Linked DNA regions of Drosophila melanogaster. The protein of the gene in region 1 interacts with the protein of each later gene in a pairwise test. Each region holds a gene or a part of one and is shown in the gene's direction. Other genes may lie near its edges. The genes, in order: c(2)M and wech.

Evidence for each region.
Region 2: the proteins of c(2)M (region 1) and wech interact in a two-hybrid assay, tested with the Drosophila melanogaster proteins (one study listed by BioGRID).

The regions. Positions count from the first base shown.
Region 1 is NT_033779.5:16,297,001-16,306,440, forward strand, and holds c(2)M (crossover suppressor on 2 of manheim), read left to right. Parts: upstream 1-6,263; 5' UTR 6,264-6,351; coding exon 6,352-6,482; intron 6,483-6,561; coding exon 6,562-6,725; intron 6,726-6,781; coding exon 6,782-7,062; intron 7,063-7,121; coding exon 7,122-7,305; intron 7,306-7,359; coding exon 7,360-7,744; intron 7,745-7,796; coding exon 7,797-8,104; intron 8,105-8,162; coding exon 8,163-8,297; intron 8,298-8,354; coding exon 8,355-8,479; 3' UTR 8,480-8,940; downstream 8,941-9,440. Other genes in the region: heix (heixuedian), read right to left, coding at 555-1,193, 1,872-2,312; CG17328 (uncharacterized protein), read left to right, coding at 3,311-3,436, 3,493-4,608; GMF (glia maturation factor), read right to left, coding at 5,077-5,205, 5,261-5,451, 5,518-5,611, 5,771-5,773; CG5861 (uncharacterized protein), read right to left, coding at 8,959-9,320.
Region 2 is NT_033778.4:7,483,236-7,496,119, reverse strand, and holds the start of wech (wech), read left to right. Parts: upstream 1-6,296; 5' UTR 6,297-6,787; intron 6,788-7,427; exon of another isoform or gene 7,428-7,664; intron 7,665-9,791; exon of another isoform or gene 9,792-9,952; 5' UTR 9,953-10,014; coding exon 10,015-10,235; intron 10,236-10,304; coding exon 10,305-12,258; intron 12,259-12,320; coding exon 12,321-12,473; intron 12,474-12,555; coding exon 12,556-12,726; 3' UTR 12,727-12,884. Other genes in the region: CG1620 (uncharacterized protein), read left to right, coding at 1-594, 659-1,254, 1,323-1,751; Coop (corepressor of pangolin), read left to right, coding at 3,931-4,174, 4,239-5,071. UniProt on the Drosophila melanogaster protein: Vital for larval development. Plays a role in tumor formation. A crucial component for the physical link between integrins and the cytoskeleton in the epidermal muscle attachment sites.

The DNA.
Region 1 (9,440 bases):
TTGGGCAATTTAAGCAATTTTTGACATAGAAATTAATTGTCTAATATCATACTTTTGGTTTAAACAACTTGAAAGCAAATAAAATGTTTCAGATCTTAACATTTGACTATCAAAATATTTGCCAAATAATGTTAATATTTATTTTAAGTATGCATTTGGTTAGAGACTTTTTAGCTTATCCAATTGGATTAAATTCCATTTATGTTTGCACAATGCCTATGGATTATCGTTTGGAAACGAAATAGTAAACTGTTAAGCTGATACTAGGACTGTAATCCGTATTTCAAAATGTCTTACATTAACCATAGGTTTTCTCTCAAGTTAATCGACCCATTAGGGCTAGGATATGTTCAGTTCAAAAGTTTAGAATCAAACGGGCGACTAGCAGCATTCGAAATTTGCGCAACGTCAAACTGTGAGAAGCTGACAAAGCTTCATTCTCCCATCCTTTATGTTACTCACATTGACTAAAACCTAATGAAATTCCCTAAAACATTGCACCAGGTTCTCACTGATTCAGATTTTCCGCCAGATCCGTACGTTTAACCCGTCTATCAATTTCTTCGCAATCCAAAGGTGGGCAACTGATGGGCACAACAGCAGGCCACCACGTACAAGATGCCAAAAAAGAAGTTCAGCTTGGCTGTTTGCCGAGGCACCAGATGCATCGTCTGTTCGTTGCGGAAACGTTTCTCAATCTGGAACGCTTGCGGCAGGGTTACCAGCGGCAGCAGGAACCACAGAGAGTACTTCAAACCGAAGATGAAGAACAATGAGTAGGGTGCAAAGAGCAGCATGGCATACAGAACGTGCGATGCTGTACGGCCTATCAAAATGGCGAGCGTTACGATTCCAGCCCGGCGATCGTTGTCCGCATCCCTTGTGTTGTTGCTGTGCAGGATGGCCTCCGTGTTGAGAGCCAAAGGAATCGCATAGCCCATTGTCGTCCAGTCCAAATGACCTGTTTGCGACATGAAGGCGAATAGCACCGAGATGGGTCCAAAGAGTATCAGTATAACCAGATCTCCCAGGGCGATGTACTTGAAACCAATGCCTCCGGTGTACAGGAAGCTCGAGGACAATCCCCCGAAGTAGATCAGTGCCAGGTGCTCCATTTTCGCCGGACTGAGCACAGCCAGCAAAACAAATCCTCCACAGCCAGCCATGTACAGAATGGCACCCAGCGATACCACCTGCAAATTAACAAATATTTATTATTTATAATTGCGGATAAGGATTAAATCTGCTGTCATGCTGTCATAATTAATTTATGCATATTCCAATTAAATTCCATTATAAAACGGAAAAAATTGTCCTATAGAAATTCGATAAAATTATAAATTTAAAAGTATTATTGTTTGAATACTCTCTAATATATTTGCCCTTGATTTGAATTAGTACCTTGCTAATTGCTACCAATTCTTGATATTGTTTTCGCTTCCAAAATGGTTTATGATTTCGGCACGTTTTTTTCTGAACGTATATAAAACTAATTTAATTTCTGTTCATCTGAAATGTACACACATACACTGAATGCATTTTCAAATATTTTAGGTGTTTAAAATTGTTTTTGTTAATTTAAAAAGAAAATTTGAGAATCTTTGCTTCGCCACTGACAAATTTGAATTTAAATATCACGTTTTGCCATTAAAGATTTAGAAGTGCTCGCGAGTTTCTTTGCATATAATTTGATTTTTCGGAATACTGTATTTGCAAATGTGGAATTTTGGTGAACACGTCAGAAAAATCGAAAAATGTTTGAATTTTACTTTTTTGAAGTTTTACTTTCCGAAGGATAAGAGTAGGCTCTATGCTCTATGGACGGATCTGCACTCTATTGGCTTGATTGATCCATCCGTTCGATTGCTCACCTCATCCTTGGTGAGTATGTGATCCACCAGCGTGCGGTCGTCGGCTTTCTGCTTGTCAATGCCCTTGATGAAGTCGAAATAGGTGTTAACTACGTTGCCGGCGCAGTGGACGGTGACCACGGTGAAGGCGGTGAGAAAGAAGGTGGCCAGCGAAAACTCCTCCGCCCACTGGGAGCGGTAGGCCAGGGCTGAGCCGAGCAGCGTTGGAACCAGACTGGCGGACAGCGACCAGGGACGCAGAGCTAGGAGATAGGTTTTCAGTTTCATAAACGTTCCGGATGTGGATGGGTGTCCTGTTAGTCGTCCCGTTAGTGCTACTCCGGCATCTGCACCTGCTGCACGAGCTCCAACAACGGCTTCCACCTCCTCACCGTCCTCTGTCTTGGTCTTGCCATTCCTGGACAAGTTGCCATTGGGCAACAGCTGGCTGCTTGTGGCCATGGCAAGCGGCACTGGTTAACTGGCACTTTGCGGTGGAGTGAAACGAGACTAGCCGCCAGGTATTCGTATTCGTCGGATTGTTTGACCTTGGTCACCTCCTCTCCAGAATTTGTTTACAATAGTTAAAGTATTCAATTTGTGCCTTTTTGGATGCCGGCACATGCGCTGCCTGGTCTCGATAATCGCTAATATTGTATACACAGCATCTTGAAAGTGGGGAATATATGCGGGGATATGTATATTATCAGCGGGGGGTGGAGAGCTCAGGTGGTCGGGGTCCCGAAACCACGAAATTTCACCCGTGCAGCTCCCAGTTTCTCACGCTCTCTCTCTCTCGCTGCCCCTCTCTCTCTCTCTCTTTTCCTCGACCGGTGCGAGGATCGTTCTTCTTATATGCCTCTCCTTTTCCGGCTGCGTCTTTGCTTCCGGCTATCGATTCCGGGTTAGTGGCGCAAATCGATTTGGCTGCGATTTTACTCTTAGTTATTTTAATCAAACAAATCAACTGTCACGTCACGTCAGCGCAAAAACGAAAAAAGGTTACACTTTTTCGTTGAAGGTGGCAACGCCGTATCGCATGTGCAGCCCTGCCTATTCCTACAGTTTTTACCCAAATTTCATAAATGAAAATAATTCAGATAATATGCAATAAATATTTAGCGGTACATGTATGTGCATTTTTTATATAATTCGTAAAACAAAGGTGGGTTTTAAATATTTATGTAATCATTGTTATCAACACTTATCAACGTAATTAGTAGTTGAAGTAGCTCACCAAAATATTACTATATCTTTTGCATATTTGCGGAAATGAATCCACATTGAGTATGAAATTCATTTTAAACACGCGAAACAAATTTAATCATATATGATAGATTTGTTTCACAAGCTAGAGTTACGACTGTACCGTTGCAGCCCTGGTCCCAATCAGCTGATAGGAGTTTAGAGCAAAATTTTCAATAATTTTTTTGTTGATTTCTATAAAATTGAAATAAAACATGGACTATAATATCCACAAAATATGCAGAGTTTGCCTGGAGGAACTACATCCTGTAACTTCGATATATAGTACAGACTTTGCTATGATGCCCTCCGTAATGTTGATGCAATGCGCTAAAATAAGAGTGGGTTCTAAAAACAAAATATTTCAATGTTAATTGGCATATGGAAATTGTTTTAGGTTTTTAAAACCGATGGCCTACCTTCGGTGATCTGCAACAACTGTATTTACCGGCTGGGGGTGGCCTTCCACTTCAAGCAGGAATGCGAAAACAGTGATCTCCGACTGCGACAATATCTGGGCATTCTGGAATCCTGGCGCCAGGATGCGGCCACCAATACGGACTTTGTGGAGAAGCCGTTGCTTCCGCAGCGCGATAGCGATGAAGAGGAACCCGTGGATGCCAAAGTGAGCAAGAGGCGGTCGCGCTATCAAAGAAAGCCGCCAGAAGAGCACAAAAAACGGGGGCCCAAACCTGTGCCAAAGATGCCCCACACCTGCTACGAGTGCCACAAAAGCTTCAAATGCATTGCCCAATTAACACAGCATATAAGAACACATACTGGCGAGAAACCCTACCAATGCAGCTTTTGTATCCAGAGATTCGCCCAAAAGTACAATCTTAAAGTCCACGAAAGAACGCACACGGGCGACAAGCCTTTTCAGTGTGAGATCTGCTCAAAGCAGTTTTCCGCGTTAGGCAATTTCCAGGCGCACCAGAAGATTCATTTAGGAGTGCGGGATCAGGTATGCTCGCTATGTCAGAAAGGTTTCTACACCGCCGGTGATCTCTCCAAGCACATGATAACCCATACGGGCATCAAAAACCATCACTGCGATGTCTGCGGCAAGGCTTTCAGCAGGCGAAGAGATATGCGGACTCATAAATTGAAGCTTCATCCTCTGGAGTCCAGTACAAACCATGATATAGTGGATGATGATGATGATGAGGCTATAGACACGGATCCCGTGGGTCTGGACACCCTCGATCACGCCCACTTCAAGTGTCCGGATTGCGACAAGGCATTTGATACGGCGGACAGCCTAAGTCTACATTTTCGCACGCATGCGGCGAATAATAATCTACTGAATTTGCCGTTGCCTCCTGCACCACCTATGTCGCATCACTACCATCACGATGCACTGCATCATCTCGGCCCACCGAATCCCGCCACACAAATGGGAATGGCTGCAATGGCTCACATGTTGGCACCGCCGCCGCCTCCACCGCCAACGCCAAGTGAAGGACGTTACACTATGCTGCACCACACGGCGGCACAAAGACTACATTATTAGAGTATAGCTACGAAGATTTATCTTAATCATAATTATTGTTTTAGATTATGTTTTGATATTGAACACTTTTATTTAGTTTGTCTATATAAAATGGAATATTTTGTCATGTTTGCTTTTATATCTTTACAATAAATACATGTAGAAATTTGGCAAGCACAGCTTCTATTAAGATTATTACTTAAATGCAAGAACTAAAATCACTAAAAACTCCCCGCGCGTACTTGTCGCATACTTGTCGTCGATATAAAAATGTCATTGTTGTATAAACTAAGCTTGATTTGTGTTTTCTGTAGGTAAAAATTGTAGTATCTCAATATTGGTTTGTTTGGTATTGGTATGCATCGTTGGTATCGGCTTAATCCAGTTTGAATATGTATATAAAAAGCTCAAAAATCAATCAGAGAACTATCATAAAATATTGCTTTTGACAACGGCCCGGATTGATTGATCCCAGAGATCGAAACCTCTCTACTTGAGCTTGGCTTTCAGCCACTCCTCGGTGAGTTCGTCTAGTTCGCGTATCTCGTAGACGCGTGTGAGATCTACTTCGCGCTGAAGAGCGCTCTTCGTGCAGGCGTACATCATCTGCAATTCGATCTGAAACAGAGAGTTATGAATTATAGAATATATTTGAGCATTGCTAAACTCCCACCTGGCTATCCCTGGGTGTGTAGAATATGAAGCACATTGGGTACGAAATGCGCTGATCGTCATGGACCATTTTATACGTATAGATGACATATCGGGGCTGGTGTCCTGGCAATGTATCCTGCAGCTCGTCCACCGAAATATCGTCGATGAACTCGTCCAGCACCACCGTTTGCTTCTCCCGGTCGACTTTCACTGCAAGGGACAATGGAGTGGTCATAAAAACTACACACATCTGTTACCATGACAATCAAGGCTTACATATCAAAGCCGCATTATTTTTGCTCTTGCTGAATCGAAACTTCTTCAATTCCTCCAGAACTTCGTTGCTTATGTCGCATATCTGGTTATCACTCTGTATGAAATCGATATAATTGATTAATGAATTGGAATCACCAAAGTTATCTGCTAACAACAATCGTCGATTGAAAAACAAAAACAAAAACACGCCCACACTCTATTAGTCATGTTTTCATTTTGGTAATTGATTTCCGACCCTATATACACTTCCTACCATAACTTTAGCTATGAAGTTAGGGATGCGATCTGTAAAGTGTGCTGCACTACCGAATTTTTGGCAGTTAATTGTAGGAATGCAATATCACTTGTCCTTAAGGAATCGTTTAAATACTGTCGTTTATTCTGAGTTTTGTTTTGTTGTTCCTGCAGTGAGACCGTTCACTGAACGCCAAATAATATTCTGTGCTGCATCAAAAATATGTGAAGTGTTGTTAAACGACGTTTCTGATAAATTAAAAAATAATAACAATATTTGCTAAAGGTTTTTTTTTCATTAAGCTTTTTTCTTTACGGCAACATTGGTATTATTTATGGAATTTATTAAAAATAATTGAAATGTATTTTTTAGATTGAAATAGGAACGCTCTTTTTTAAAAATGTTTTGTAGATATACTTAAAACTTATCATTATTTTATAGTAGGTAAAAATCGTTCGTATACGATATTTGGATCATGTTTGTCCTCTCTAGTGGCTGATGGACTGTCAAAAAAGTACCGTTACTTTAGGGTTGTTACAGAGAGCACTAACTTATAAATAGTTAATACTATAATCTATGTGCTTAATGTCGTAGTTACAATGAGCTTGAATTTATATGAGAGCAACATCCTTAATTCCTGCTGGAAAGCGGGAGGGCGCAAACCGAGGAAATCGGCATTTGGCCAACTTAATCGAAATGAGATCGCTGATGTGGATGTAGTCGCCTGCTGGTAATTAAATATTAAATATAATGAATTTTTTTAACATTTCATTATATTCAATTGTTTTCAACATTTATCTACATTTCAGCAAGCAAATCACCGAATTAATTGAGGAAAATGCATTAAGAAAACGCCAGAAACGATCCAATGTTTTGGCCGCAAGAAACCGGCAAAATGTTATTTTCAAGGACATTTCCCGCTTGGTTTTTGGAGTTGCGGATATTTTTAGATGCCAAGTGGATCTACTTTTGGGTAAGTATTAGTCCGAATATTACGTAACATTGATATATAATCACGAATTCTTACAGGGGACACGAAGGTATTACTTGACCAATGTACACGTACCAACTTGGATTACGTTCTCACCACAACAAAATCCGTAGTGGTCAACAAATCAGAGATTCGAATCCAACGCAAAGGAAAGCGGGTGATCACCAAGAAATCTAAAGTAACAGTATCAAAACGTCCCAGACTGCAGGAATCGGATCTATTGGATGAATTCTCACATGAATACTACGAGAAGATGCTATCCGAATGCCAGATGTGGCAAACGGAGTGCACACAACAGGTGGTGGAGGACCTGAACGAGGTTAGTCGTCAATATACTGTTGGACTGCTTCCTTATATGATTTCATTTTTCGCAAAAAGTCTATTGAACAACCCCGGAGTTGCACTCAGTCAAAGTCGTATCATTCCATTACAATCACCGAAGAGATTGAACTTCCCGAAGATCATAGCTTAATTATGCCATCAAATGGTTTTGGCGAAGCCGAGGGCGCGGACTTAACCATTTTTCAAGAGCTTTACCCCAAAGATGGCACACGGAACTCACGTAAGAATTCTCAATTCAATTGAAAATGTAATAAACTATTTTTTTGTATTATAGTAAAGCGACACTCAATAGCTCAGGATCCAACTGACATCTTACCGGATAAAATGCCCAGATTGGATGATTGCGATGTTTTCCAAGCTGACAATGCTATCATGACCCAAATCTTTCCGCATAACATTGAACCAGCTGAAGTAACTCAGATAGTTTGTGAACCGTCGTTGCCATCCGTTTTAAATTCTTTTGGAGAAATAACATTTAGCCACCCGAAAAATCGGAAAAGAAAGCTAATAGTAGACAAACGAATTGAATACACCCGGGAGCAGCTGGTGAAGCATAGACAGAAATATATGGAAGAATACCTTTCAAGGAATGTGATAGTGCCAAAATCCTCGGATTTACGGAAACCCCCTAAGGAACTTCTCTGTAAACTGTATAATAAGTAGGAGCCTTATACATTTTGCTATTTAAAACTTTTTAATTTTTTGATGTAGTGTAAGTTTTTTAGCTCTTCATAACCACTCCGGACCTAAGCTCAGTAATGAAGAAAAGGAATTCGAGGCAGAAAACACATTGAGAACCATATTTGGCTGCGAGTTTACCGAGAATCTTTCTAAAGAGATATTTGTGCGACCATCGCAGGCTACAAAATGTAGGGATAAAGCGGCACATATCTATCAGCCCGAACCGCTTGAAGTGGAAGACTGTGTGCAACCTCAACTTCAGCCACGTGATGATGTAAATCAGAATTATCATAATGAAATGAATGAGCACGGCATATACCGTGAGGATAATCATGATGGTGAGTTCAGCCAATGTTTACAACATGCTATCGTAAATAAAATATAATCTCATTGCAGATACCTACAGCGTAATGATGAGTCTCTTAAGCATTTGGCGTAATAATCCGAAAATCACGGGAATCGATGCCATTGATTTTATAAAAACGTTTGATAGTCGCATCAAGGCTTCGTTAGCCTTTCTCCATTTGTTGTGTGAGTTCGAAAAAGAACAAAATGTGTGTTGGAAATAACGTATAGCTTAAATTTCAGATCTTGTTCGAGACCATTTTATAGAGATATCAAAGCGAGCTAATTCGCTGGAAATGTACCAAATTACTCTTGGCAAAGAGTCCGCTAAGCTAATAGACAATCTTATGCTGAGTGAGACTCTGTGAATATTTTTAGATAATTTTTTTCAAGATTACCAAACAACTTTGTAGTTGACAATCTTCCACATTTTTGTTGTTGTTTTGTTTTCTGTTATTGCTATTGTGTTATAACATATAAGTTGAGCCAATCTCTAACCTAGATGGCTTTAATCTACTCTTTTTCCATACAATCTTATGGTACAATTGAGCAACGATGTCCTGGATAATTCGTTTCATTTCAAGAATTGAAAAATTCTATAGATGTTACTTGTTGCTGTCTATAAAAATAGTTTTTTTTTCATTATCATATTAGTTTCGTGTACCCATTAAAAGTTGTTTGTTATCTTTGTTACTATTACGTTATCGTAGCTATAATTCATTAACATTTGGAGTAATTCTCTAAACCGTAATTGTTGTCTTTGTTACAAAATCTCAATTTCTCTGACAACACCAAAAAATAAACAAGTTACAAAAACAAAGGAATACAGAGTGTTTGGCACAATTGCTTAAATTCCGATCTGCTGGGCCAGACCCGAATAGATGTGCAGCGTGCAGAATCCAATGACGGCCGCCACCAGCGCTTTAACAGCCACCGTTAGCCAAGGTCCAATGGTCAGAATGTGGAGCATGCCCTCCAGCCAGACGCCTTTGAAGACAGTCACCGCCAGAAGTAGACTAACCAGCGGCTTTAATGCCTTGTTCAAATCGTGACGGGTGAAGAGCCAGATCAGGGTGGCCGTAGTGATGTGCTGCACCAGAAGCACGTTCGATTCCAGACACTTGAGGATGTAGATCCAACTGAACTCGGTGCCTCGGGCACCCACCCACAGCATGATACCTCGGGAAAGAATCACTTCGGCGGTGGCCCCTGCGGAAGTATACGAAAATATTTAGTTTTTACTAAATTTTTGGAAGTTGTCATACATATATGGGTTGGGGTATTAAAGGTTGAGTAGGCATTGGCTCTTGTAACATTAATATATCTGAA
Region 2 (12,884 bases), on another chromosome or scaffold:
ACAACAACAGCACCAGCGTCCAACCGCCAATGTCGCCGTCGTCCTCGGTGGCGGACACCACCTTTGAGCCCACCATCGACATGATGGTCAACGACTTTGACGACGAGGCCACGCTGAACGAGGAGGAGGCTCTGGCGGACATGGAGGCGCACAGTGCCGAGGACGAGATCGCCACGCTGCGCGAGGAGAGCGAGATGCCCATCGAGGAGCTGCTGGCCAAATATGGCGGGACAGCGGCTTCGCCGGCAATGAGCAGCTCGAACCGTTCCGGCAGCAGTTCACGACGTGCACGTAGGGCCACAAAGCGCCAGTACCAGGAACTGGACACGGAGATGGCTCACACGTCGACCTCCACTTCGAGCAGCACATCGCAACTGGAGAAACACGACGGCATAGACCAGGAGGAGGAACCCAAGGAGGAGGCCGATAAGCTAGCATCACCCCCAGAATCAGGAGAAGCTTCGTCCGTGGACACGGAGGATGCGCAAAAGTATGAGGGGATCAAGAAGCAGCATCGCTCACATTTGCTGGACCTGTATCCAGATGAATCCTTCGTCGATCTGGCGCCCACATGCGGAGAGGAGACGGAAAGATGTAGGTTTAAAAATAAAACGTGACAGAATCTAATTATCACTTCCATTATGTAACACTTTTATAGTCACTCCACTGCAAACACTGTTCGATGAAGTGGAGGCCGAGGAGGAGGAGGAAAGCGAATCCGAGTTGGACGATGCTCGGAAGATAATAATGGTGGGTCACGACTATCAGGCTGAGATCCCAGAGGGGCTGTCGCAATATGGCGATATATTGCCATATGAGAACGAGGATCAGTTGATCTGGGAGCCCAGCCAAGTCAGCGAGCGCGAGGTGGAGGAATATCTGGCCAAGATACAGGAAACCCGATCGATAGTTCCGCCGGATGACGGGTCAGAGACTACGGCGGGCGAGGAAGGCGCAGCTACAGGTGCTACTATCGAACCGCCGGCTCCCATTACAGCTCCAGCCACGCCTCCGAGGGCTCCGCTTGCGACAAGTGGCGCTGGCGATCAGGAGCTGGTGGTAAAGGATAATGAGCAGGCGCTCCATCTGCTTGTCCAGTGCGGTTACGACTTCAAAGAAGCCCTACGACGCAAGCGCATGAACGTCCTGCCTCTCACTGATACCATGAGCAGCTGGTCCGAGGACGAGTGCCTAAAGTTCGAGGAGGGCATTCAGCGGTTTGGCAAGGACTTCTATCAGATACGTCAAAACCAGGTAAAGGAGCGTCCATTGCCTGCGGACCGCCCTAGCAAGTAATCTATGGGCTCGTTGGGCTCTTTCAGGTGCGCACTAGAACCATGCGCGAGCTGGTCCATTTCTACTATCTGTGGAAGAAGAGTGAGCGCCGGGATCAGAGCTTTGCTTTAAACGACACCATCGATCACATGGATGTTTTCATCAACGAGGCGGGCGGTGGCAACGGAAGTGGTAATGGAAATGGTGCCGGGATCGTATCGGGCACCGCTAACAGTAATGGTAGCTGCTCACCGCATAGCAGCAATGGTCACAGCAATGGGGATTTGTCTGCCCTGGAGAAGGATACCATCGCCAGTCCTCGAAAACCCGCCTCTAAGAGCTATTCTATTATGACCGGGAGTCAGGCGGTAGGTAATCCTTCCGGGGGGAACCGAAAGCGATGCTCATCCGCATCTCTGCCCCTGGAGGACGAGGACAACAACGTCGAGGAAGAACCCAGCCTGTCCACAGTGTAAACGACATCTCTATCACAATCACCATCATCATTATCATAACCGAGCGCAGGCGCTTTCGATTCGGTTGGGCCAGGCGATGTATTTGCAGGGCGCTTCATTACCATTACCACTCACTATAAATATGCATACTGTACGTGTAGTATATACCATATGTCTAAACATATATATTCCAGATTCTTAAATCGACATCTCTCATAACCCGTAAAGAATTTCTCTATTGTTAAGTGTGCGATTCGTCTATTTGTTACATGTGCGTGTGGATTCCGGAACCAAGTACTTATCGCTTATATATACAATATATTTTCGCTCAATCCTTGAGTTTCGTTGAATGTCAATAAATGTAATATGTATATCTGTAAAGTCAATTCTATTGTTTTGTCGATATTTGACCAAATGTTTTAAAACCTCCAATAATTTAATGAATTTCAATTCTCAATTTACGAAAGTAATGTATGATCAGAAAAGATAAATATATATGTACATCGAAAGCTTTGTAGACTCACAGGTAAGATTCGCTACAAATCAGATACTAATATTACATAAAAGTACATCTTAGATATCTTAGATGAGCATGATTTATTTTATTTGGTTCAAAACAAAGTATGCATCATATTATTAATTTATTCGGCCTAGTATTTTCCCCTTTAAAAGCCTTTGTTTACATATAGAAGAAACAATATTTAAACGAAAATTAACCAAATTTTATCAAATATGCATTAGTTTAATCGCTACTTAAAAGACAAGCTGACGGATTTCAAATAACCATCTTAACGAAAGATCAATCGTACTCCGTATTCCCTAAAAGTTAACCGGATCGGAAACAAAGAACCGGTCCGTATAAATATACATACATATCTCGTATACATAGATACTTAGGTATGTCTGTATCTTTTCCCCAGTTTTCTTTGCAAGGCGTTCTTGAAAATGGCCAATTACGGTGTTGGATTCCCATTTATTGGCCGCATGTCTGTCCACGTACATTGTGCATACGAATGTGTGTGTGTGTTTTTCGCACTGTGGGTAGAAAGACGAGTATAAATTGCGGCGAGGATCAAATGTCAGGCTGAAACCCAACCGCAAAGCTACAGAAGATCTGATAAATAACCCCGGTCGCCACTTGTCATGTCTGCTTCACTTGCATTTTCGCAGTCCCAAGAAGAGGAGACTCAACCCGAAACGTGCAAGCATACACGTATAAACATTAATATGTACGTGTGTACACATATACAGACAACGGATACAGTCTTCGGTTCCAGGCTCACGATCGTTCCAGCTGGAGCTTTTGTTCCCACACACCCTCGTCTGTATATAGAAATGTACATATGTATGTGCGCTGTGGCGGTGGCTCCACTGGCGTGGCGTGAATTTTGTACGTTCCCTCCAGCTCCATTTCCAAGCGACCCAGCCAGCCGACCGTAGTAAAATCCAGTTTTGATAAAAATAAACAAAGTACACTACACCGCTCTCTATACGCTACACTATGAATTTCCAGTCTCTGCGGCTGGGTCACCTGGAAAAGGATCTCCTTTCGCGTAACGGGAGGGTGGGCCATAGAGCTCTATGTAAAGACTTTTACCGCTAAAGCGCGTGACATGTCCGCTCAAGTCGCTGTACGGGTGGAATTCTATTGCAATAGCCGTTTTCGGTGCAGAGCATATTAGATTCGTTACGGTGGGCTCACAATGGCGAAGTTAACAACCGTAAAAAGCGCAAATACGACACAGAGTTGCGGCCAGCGCAGCGGAAGCTTAACATCCGGATAATATTGCCAGGCAGCTCAGTTGTTGTTCTGCCGCCTCGCCTGCGCCTGCTTCTTCTTCTTCTGCTTCTCCTGCTTCTTCTTCCTCTTCTTGGGTCTTCTGTTCGTGGCAAAGCCTGTTGCTCAAGCCTCTCTCCTCCTTCCCGATCCCGCAGCTCCGCCTTCGCCTTTGCCTGTGCCGTCGCAACCAGCTCCGTCCGCTCTTTCCACAATTCTCTCTCGGCACCGCCAAAAGGCACGTAAACTGGTTGTTGCTGGCTGGGCCGTACACTTCGTGGTGCCCGTATTTTTCGTATTTTCAGTGCTGCCTGAACGCTTGAGCTGCGCGAGTCGCTTGCCGGGAAACTCGGAGTTGGAATCGGAACTGGATCTGGCTAACTAGCTATCGGGCTATCGGAAATTGGCCACTCGGATCTGGACATGGAGATGGCCTACAATGCGTCATCGTCGGCGGCCTCCGTCGGCTCTGCTTCTGCCGCCGCCTCTGCCACCGCCTCCTTCGCCTTCACCAACACCGCCAAGCTGCCCATCGAAACGGTGAAGCGCCTGATTGCCGCCGTCTCACGACGTCCGATGTTGTGGCTGCGCAACAATGCCAATGGCCAGAAGCGCAGCGACATCACGCCTGTTTGGTTCGAGGTGGGTCAGGATGTGAATTTGCCAGGTGAGTGTATGGCTGACTATTTCTCCTCTGCGCTTTCCGCTAAAATGACTCCCCCCTTTCACAGCCGACATCTGCCGAATTAAGTGGGGCCACCTGAGGGACAACTTTCGCAAGGTGTACATCCGCAATAACCTGTCCAATGAGACGCCCTCGTCGTGGCGCTTCTACAACGATATGCGGTTCATGGAGCCCGCCGTTCACGAGAATATCATGCGTCAGACGCGAAGCAGCAGCAAGAAGCACCCACCCGGACACTGGACGGAGAACAATAATGTGCTGGGGCCGGACAAGTATGACTCAATGCCCATTGTTGCTACGGAGCCCATATGCGAGCTCAGCCACAGCTATGACTCGGAGCTACACCAGCCCAGCTTCTCGGACATCAGTTCGTTCTTCGAGGATCGCGACTGCCAGCCGCCGGAGAATAAGAGATTTAAGTCGGAGCCCAGTCAGAGGGAGGAGGACGAGGAGGATGACGATGACTTCGACGAAGATGCCGCCTCGGAGAACTTGGAAGAGGAACGCGGCAATCGTGCCGATGCTGCCAGTTCCGGTGTATTCACCATAGAAGTGCTCGATGACGACGACGAAATGGAGCAGGCGGTGACCAAGACCAAGGCGAATAACACTAGCCACGGCGGATCCAGCCTGAAGAGCGAGCAGGAGGCCAAGGTGTTCTCCAATTCGCAGTCACCCACCGCCGATCTGCCATTCAAGTATATCAGCACGGATGTGGCCACGAATACGGATCCCTCTGGTGGAGATCTCCAGGACGAGGCGGATCGCATGTTCCTGCTCAGTCTGATGCCCTTCCTGCAAAGATTGGACAGCCGCCGGCGTCTGCGCGTGCGCCAGAAATTACAGAACGTGCTCATCGAGGAACTGGAGTTTGGCTGAGGACGCGTATATCCGGGGGAATGTGGGGAGATTTACTTTATAAGCCTAGCTTACAGTATTATAAGAACGCGACTGACTAACTCTGTGAATCTGCCTACATACGTAGCATGTAATCAGTATTCCGGCCTGCTTTCCTTCATACCAACACACTTCAATACATACCATATTGCATTACAATACATATTTACACTTCAAATAGACGATCACGCCAGCATGATTACTTGTTTCTTCCTCAGGATAACCGCTCACTTTTACCTGTATCTGCGCTCCGGTGCACCTGCGCCTTTTACCTGCGCACCCCGCCCGCAGTTCGAGTTCCCAATTATCCACGGTCACTGTTGCAATTGCATTTTTCCAGCCACGGGCGGCTCAAAATTTCTGTCAGTGCAAAACAAGTTCTTTAAGGGTGGTGCACGCGGCAACAACAACAACCACAAGGTGATTCCCTCCGCATTTTCGCGCCACATGCGCCGTTAATGCTAATGTACCGCGCTCTCGCTCGCTCTCTCCGCTCACCAATCACAATGCGCTCCGGATGGGCGAAACTTGGTCGAGCCTAGGCAACTTGATAATTCCCTTTTGGTGTGTTGTGTTTTTTGCCTGAAAACATCTCCCCATGTTTTAAAAATGATTCAAAGCTTTCGTTGAATAATGGCGGGCTTAACAGTTCTGCGATTTGCTTAATAGGGTCCAATTGGATGGAGTTTAACTTTCAAAAACTTTCGCTAAACAGAAAGCTCATCTTCTAATGAGTAGAGTCTGAAATTTAGACGCAGAATCCATAAAAATTCTTAGTGGTTCATGCATTGTTGTTAAAATGTTGAATGCTGTTTTGTCTTTTCGGAACTCATTTGGAATTCCAAAATTTAAGGTGAAACACTATTTAATTTTAATTTAAAATTCCTTTTAATTTCAGCAGTATGATTCCCCTCTGATTTGTAATCACAAAAATGTTCATGGCCATTCATTGACCATCATTTATACTTATTATAATCATTTATACTATTTATAAAAATTGAAATATAACAGTTAGCAGAATCAGTGTGACCAGCCATTGTGAGGATCAAAAACTAAACCTCCAATTCGGCTATGCCCGCGATACCCTGAACGAACAGGGGCGCGAATGACAAAAACAACAAAAACCAGCAGCAGCAGAAGGGCAGCGTCGTAACGAGAGAGCCGGGCAGAGAAGAAGAGGAAGAGGCAACGGCAGCGGCGAGCGCATGAACGTGAGTTTTGCAGTTTGATGGTTAAATGCGTGCGTGAAGGTTGGAGTGAAGATTTTGAGCCGAATTCGAATCCTAGTCCCCGCCGCAATAAGTGGGTCAGAATTGGAGCCGTTCGATTGGGCCAAACAAAAAGCTGGGCGCCACCGCAGACTGCAGCTAAAACACGCCGCCAAAGTAATTGGAAGAAGAAGCAGGCGCACAATAGGAATAATTGTTCATGGATTTTTTCGATTTCTCGTTCGCTTGCAGAAGGAAAAGTGCACGAGGGTGGAACCAAGGGTAAATAAGATTCGCCCGAAAACGCTTGGAAAATGTAAACAATCTGTAAGCACAGCGACGATAAGCGATTTTCAAAGAGTTTGCCAGCTTTTTACATCGATCAAACACTCGCATAATAAACGAATAAGAACTGACGATTAAATCGAATTGAAGTGGAGTGACGACTATGGGATACCCTAGGACCGCGTAGAGTGAATGAATTTGACAAGTGAGTTAAAAAAGCCATGGGGCACGAATTAAGTTAGCATAATATATGTGCGTAAATCAATTCAGTGCTATTAACTAAGTTTGTTGGGGGAAATGTTAGCTGTGTAATCCGCATAAAAGGAAATCTTGTTTAGGACCCATACGCCCCTGATACCCTGGACCGAAGCGGACGCCATTATCCTATTAGCCGTTATGCCCCATCAAGCGATTCGATTGTTTGAGGTTAGTAACAGTACATCTGACCAAACTTCTGCATCGACCCTCTGTATTAAACGCAGTTCTTTGCGGCATAAGTGAAAATAAATAGAAGATAAAATGTGCATGTGAGCCTCCCGTGCATGAGTGTGCCTGTGTCCGTGCGCCCTGCGAAGGAGAAACAGAGAGCGGAAGAAATAGGAAAAGAAGAGAGCGGGCGAAACGAAAGAGAGAGCGACGGTTTTGGAGCGCGCGCGCACATCAAAATTAAAAAACAAACTGTGAGATACATTTGGGTTTATTTTTTATATTTTGTTTAGGCTACATAGGCGATGATGATGATGTTGATGAGCGGCAAAAGCAACAGAGAGAGAGATAGAGAGAGAGAGAGAGAGCGAGCGACTCGAGTGTTATGTTGTGTTTTCAGTTTCGGTTTCGGATGTATCTTCTTCAGTCGGAATAAGGAATACACGATTGTCGGAGCGAACGGATTACGCATAAGAACTCTCTGGAAAACGAATTTCGCCTCGCGAAAATCCGCTGAAAAGGCAAAGCCAAGCCAATTCAAAACGGAATCCGCACCGCATCAAATTAAAAATCGAATCAATTAGCGAAAATCGGTACTGAACGCGCGACCCAACAACAACAAAAGCCAAGCGTCTTGCATGCGGCTGCTAAAAAAGGTGTGTACGCGAAGGAGATGCACGTAGAGAGCGAAAGAGGAGGCACGAGCGTGCCACTATCAACAGAATTTGATAAATAGACTTTAGTCCAATTGCTGCCAAATGCAAATATTGATTTTCACTACTCCCAAGATTTCCCAAAAGATTCCTCTCGACGCTTTTCCGTTTTTGGAAAATATACATACACAAATATACGGACGATTTGCGGCGCAGAAACCACCTACATACGGACATGTAGAGAAACTTGTGTGAATACAACCCTCGTCCTCATCCCCCTATGTTTTTGCGTCGTATCCTCGCTGCACGAACACAAATGTAGCGCTGTAACCGTGTGTGTATGTGTGTGTCTGTGTGTTTGTGAAAGGACTTTAACTTCTTGGTCGTGTTTTTTCCACGTCCTGCGACTCGGAGACAGACCCGTTTCAATGGAAAACGTTCAAGGGTGACAAGGGTAGTTTCGCTGATGCCTCCTCCTTCTCCTCCCCCTCTTCTTTCTGCATGGAGTCCTTTTCCTGCTCTTGTTCTTCTTATCCTTGTTTTTGTTGCCGCTGTCTACACGGTTCGAAAATATCCTAGAAGTGCATTCCTTTCCTAGGGCGTTGCATTGTTTAGCCGAAAAAAAGGGTACCAAAGCTGAGTTTGTTTATTGATTTCATCAGGACTGTTCGCAATCCAATCGCAACCATTACGCACAACCGCTTTTCTTAAACTACAGATGGTATGGAAATTCACGTTGTTGTGATTTCCCTTTAAACACTTTAAGGAGTGTATTTTCTTTTTATAGAATGCTAATTCATAGATGTTAAAACATCCCTAACATCTTGTCGTTTTTTAAAATCTCCTTGTCAAAACGGTAATAACATTCAAAGTTACCTTAACTCAAGGAACGTAAAATCTTGTCCTTAAAATGGGTTTATTTAATAATATCAACATATTTGCGCATTAAGTATATACATTTTCCTGGCTTAAATTTCCAATTTGGTTTGCTTTAAAATTTTACTTAGAACTGATTAAACCGAACAAGTTCGTTAAGTTCTTGTTTATCGAAATGCAAATCCATTTAAAGGGGTGTGATCCTTTACACCAACTTTTTATTAATATATATTCTGGGCCATAGTGCATCTTAATATAAGAACTGAACTGCCAGGCAAATTGTTTTCACCACAGATCGACAAAAATCATCAATCGCTTGACTTTAATATTTTTCCTTGACGAGAGCAACGGGAGGCCTAAACTCAACCCGCAGACATTCAATAACCCTTTTCCACCTTAACCCCATTCGTAAACTGGATTTGCTACCCCTCAAGTCATACTATAAATTAACTCAAATCACCCAAAATCAGAATGAAGGAAGAAATACACGTTCCTGTCGTCAAGTTTTCCGCAGAGTGTGGAAGAAACAGCTCCGTAATCCTGACCCGGTGGAGGGATGAAAGTCGGTCGTTTTATTGGGTCTACGCTCCTCGTCTTAGAGATGGAAACCAGTTCCGTCTGTTGTTTTATGACGTAGTCGCTTTGTGTTTGCCACCCCATTCTCCCCGCCGGAAAAGTCGCTTGCGCAGTGCTGGCGAAGCGAGGTGGTGGGTGGAAAGACAGGAAAATATTGTAACTACGTGATAAGGTTGAGCGCTGAGGTGGGGCCCCGTGAGGGTGGTTTCTAATCCCAGTCCAGTTTGTTTTCCCGTGTTTTTGGGGAGAAATTTCCCGACTCTAGTATCTGGGTTACAGAAAGTATCTAAGGAGTACAGGCAGTTCGCCGAATTGCGCGCGAAAACTCGCCATTTTAGCTCGTAAATTAGGAAATGCGTGGCTAATTCCGAAATTCCGGGATTCCAAAGAACTTGACAATGGCATGAATGCAACCAAGTATCTTACAGATACAAAAGATACACACAAATCTGACCTGCTGCCGCGCGGCACACAGCTGCCTTTCTCGGGTTGCATTGCTTTTCTCGGATTCGGGACGGGCCTACTTAAAGGATCAGGGGTCGGGGATCCGGCCTTGTGGATTGGTCATAAGAAGGCAGGCAAGCGGTCGGGGAATTTTCCCGCTACCTACGATGATGCCTAGATGCAGCTGCAACTGCCTGCCTAGGACTACTTAATGAAGCACCTTTTCCTTGGCCAATTTAGTTAGGTTCTACCCTTCGGCAACTGACGACGTCCCGCGCGTTCCAAACGCAGTTTAGAAAAAAAACACAAAACATTTTTATCCACGAGCTCTTCGCGTCTTCGAGTTTTCGTCAAACGTCTCTAAAATTATTCGCAAATCTTACTAATTTTTGTAGCGGAAAAGCGCCACTCCATTGACTGCTGCCTTGTGCTATAGAAACGTGATCTCACCACTCTTATGATGGAACTTTTGTCAAACAATTCGGTTCCGCAACAAATGGCCAGCAGCAATGCGCCGAGCGCCAACAATGTGGCCCACTCCTCAACGGCCAACGGAAGTGGAGGCGGCAGTGTGAGCAGCAATGCCAGCAACTCCTCCGAGCGACTGCTGGCGGGCATCCTGGAGAGCTTTCCCGCCTGGGACCTCAACGTGGGACTACTGCCCAACGTGGGCCAGAGGTGAGATAGAAACACAATTAAAAATCTCGAGAGGCTCGACTTAAATCACTCTTCAACTTTTTTTTCTAGCTCACCACCACGCGCAGACTTCTTTATCAATAACTTCCTGGGCGGCCTGGACACGCATGGCGACTTCAGCATTGGACCCATTGGCAGCGGTGCCCGCAGCAATCCGAAGATGTCGCCAGAGTCATCTAACAACTCGAGCATCAGCTGCGGTTGGTGCGAGGTTAGTGCTTCAATACGCTGCCTGGAGTGCAACGAGTTCATGTGCAACGACTGCCTAAGGGAGCATCGCAACAGTCCGCTGTCCTCCAACCACTCGATCGTGTCCTTGCCCACGCCCATTGGAGCCTCGCCCACGGGTGGCAGCTCGGTAAATGCACAGACTCCGCCCAGCGGCAACTTTATCTGCGACATACACAACGAGATGTTGCGCTACGTATGTGACTACTGCCGGAAATTGGTGTGTCAGTGCTGCACACTGCACGAGCACAAGGAGCACAGCTACGCGTCCATCCAAAGCTTTATGGTGGGCTCGAAGGAGAAGCTGGAGGGCGCCATTGAGAGCAGCCAGGTGGGCACGCGCTGCATTAAGAGCAGCATTGACAAAGCGTTGGCCTTCATCCGGCTTATCGAGCGCAATTGCAGCGAGCTGAGCGATAATATACGCAAGGCATTCCGTCAGTTTATCATTGCCATCGAGGACCGCGAGCGTTTCCTCCTGGACTTTGTGGAAAAGCTCCGCCAGCGTCGTCTGGCCATCCTACACGATCAGATGGCAGGCTTAAAGTCTGCTCTCGCCGGACTCTCCGAAACGTCCGATATGCTTAGCAAGGTGGCGGACAATGCCTGCAACATGGACCAGATTGAAATTGCCATGAAGTTGACCAATGGGCAGAGGCAGATGGAGCAGTTTGCGGGCATATATAAGGACCTGCAGCCAAAACAGGAAGTCTTTGCCTTCGCACCACCAGATTACAGCCTGCTACAGGATATCCGCAACCAGGGTGGCGTTATCCTGGTGGACGACAAGAACTTGCCCATCGTCTCTAGCAGCAACGGAATTGTGCCGAGCGTCTCCAGTGTTAATGCCGTGGCCGCGGCCTCCGTGGGAGTTGTGGGAGGCGTTGCTGGAGTAGTCGGAGGCGTTGGCGTGTCAAACGGCCTGGACTTGGCCTTCGGCATGAACATGCCCAACAATCCGCTGAGTGTTGCTTCCTCAAGTGTGCGACGTCCCCTGTTGCGAGACAATAGCTTCCGGATTCCATCGCCCATAATGCAACCACGCGGAGGAAGTGCCTGTGGGATGTCCAGTGGGATGTCCAGCGCTGCTCTTGATTGGGAACTCAATGGACTGCGCAGCTCGCCAGGATTACACTTCAGTGCGCCGCGAACCACGCAGGCCATTCCGGGATGCATGGATCTGGTCAAGGTGCGTAACTCGAATGCTCTCTCGCTATCCTTCGCCACCGAGGGCCACGAGGACGGACAGGTGAGCCGGCCATGGGGTCTATGCGTTGATAAAATGGGCCACGTTCTCGTATCGGATCGCCGCAACAATCGCGTCCAGGTCTTCAATCCCGATGGCTCCCTAAAGTTCAAATTCGGCCGTAAAGGCGTGGGCAATGGAGAGTTCGATCTGCCTGCTGGAATCTGTGTTGACGTTGATAATCGCATTATTGTGGTCGACAAGGACAATCACCGTGTGCAAATCTTTACCGCCAGCGGCGTCTTCCTGCTCAAGTTCGGCAGCTACGGCAAGGAGTACGGCCAGTTCCAGTATCCGTGGGATGTGGCCGTGAACTCGCGCCGCCAAATTGTGGTTACCGACTCGCGCAATCATCGCATCCAGCAGTTCGACTCTGAGGGTCGCTTCATCCGCCAGATAGTGTTCGACAACCATGGGCAAACCAAAGGAATCGCCTCGCCACGAGGCGTTTGCTACACGCCGACGGGCAACATCATAGTGTCTGACTTTGACAACCACTGCCTCTACCTGATTGATCCAGACATCAACGACGTATGTATGATTGTAAATAGCTTAGTTCCATTGGTGCTTATGCGCTTTTGAACTTGTTGCAGATTCTTTCCGTGAAGGGACATGAGGGCTCGGGCTTCCATGAATTTAATCGACCCTCCGGCCTGTGCTGTGACGACGAGGGCCGCATTATAGTGGCCGATTCAAAGAATCAACGCATCCTGGTCTTCAATCAGAACCTGGACTTTATGTGGGATGTAAGTACACTTTTCAGCTTAGGATCAACCAACAGGGTATTGGAACCTCACTAACATGGTATTATTGCGTTCCCCAATTTAGATCGAGGTGCGACCCTCCATCAATCCCTTGATGCCGCCCACGCTGGACGAGAAAGATCGCACTTGCGATGTGGCCATAATGCCAGACGGTCGCATTGTGTTCCTCATTGAACTGTCGCCAGACTCCAAGGAAGGGTCAAACCCTTACAAGCGGTTTGTGCACGTATTCTAAATAAGGCCACGAGTGCCGATCTTTTTTTTTAGACCATTTACAAGAGCGAAACCTTAGCGTAGAGTTTCAAATAACATGACGATTATGAGGAGGTGCCGAAACCGATTTAATAAGAAAAAATCTGAAATCATGAAAGTTAGCGAAAATTTTTAGCTTAA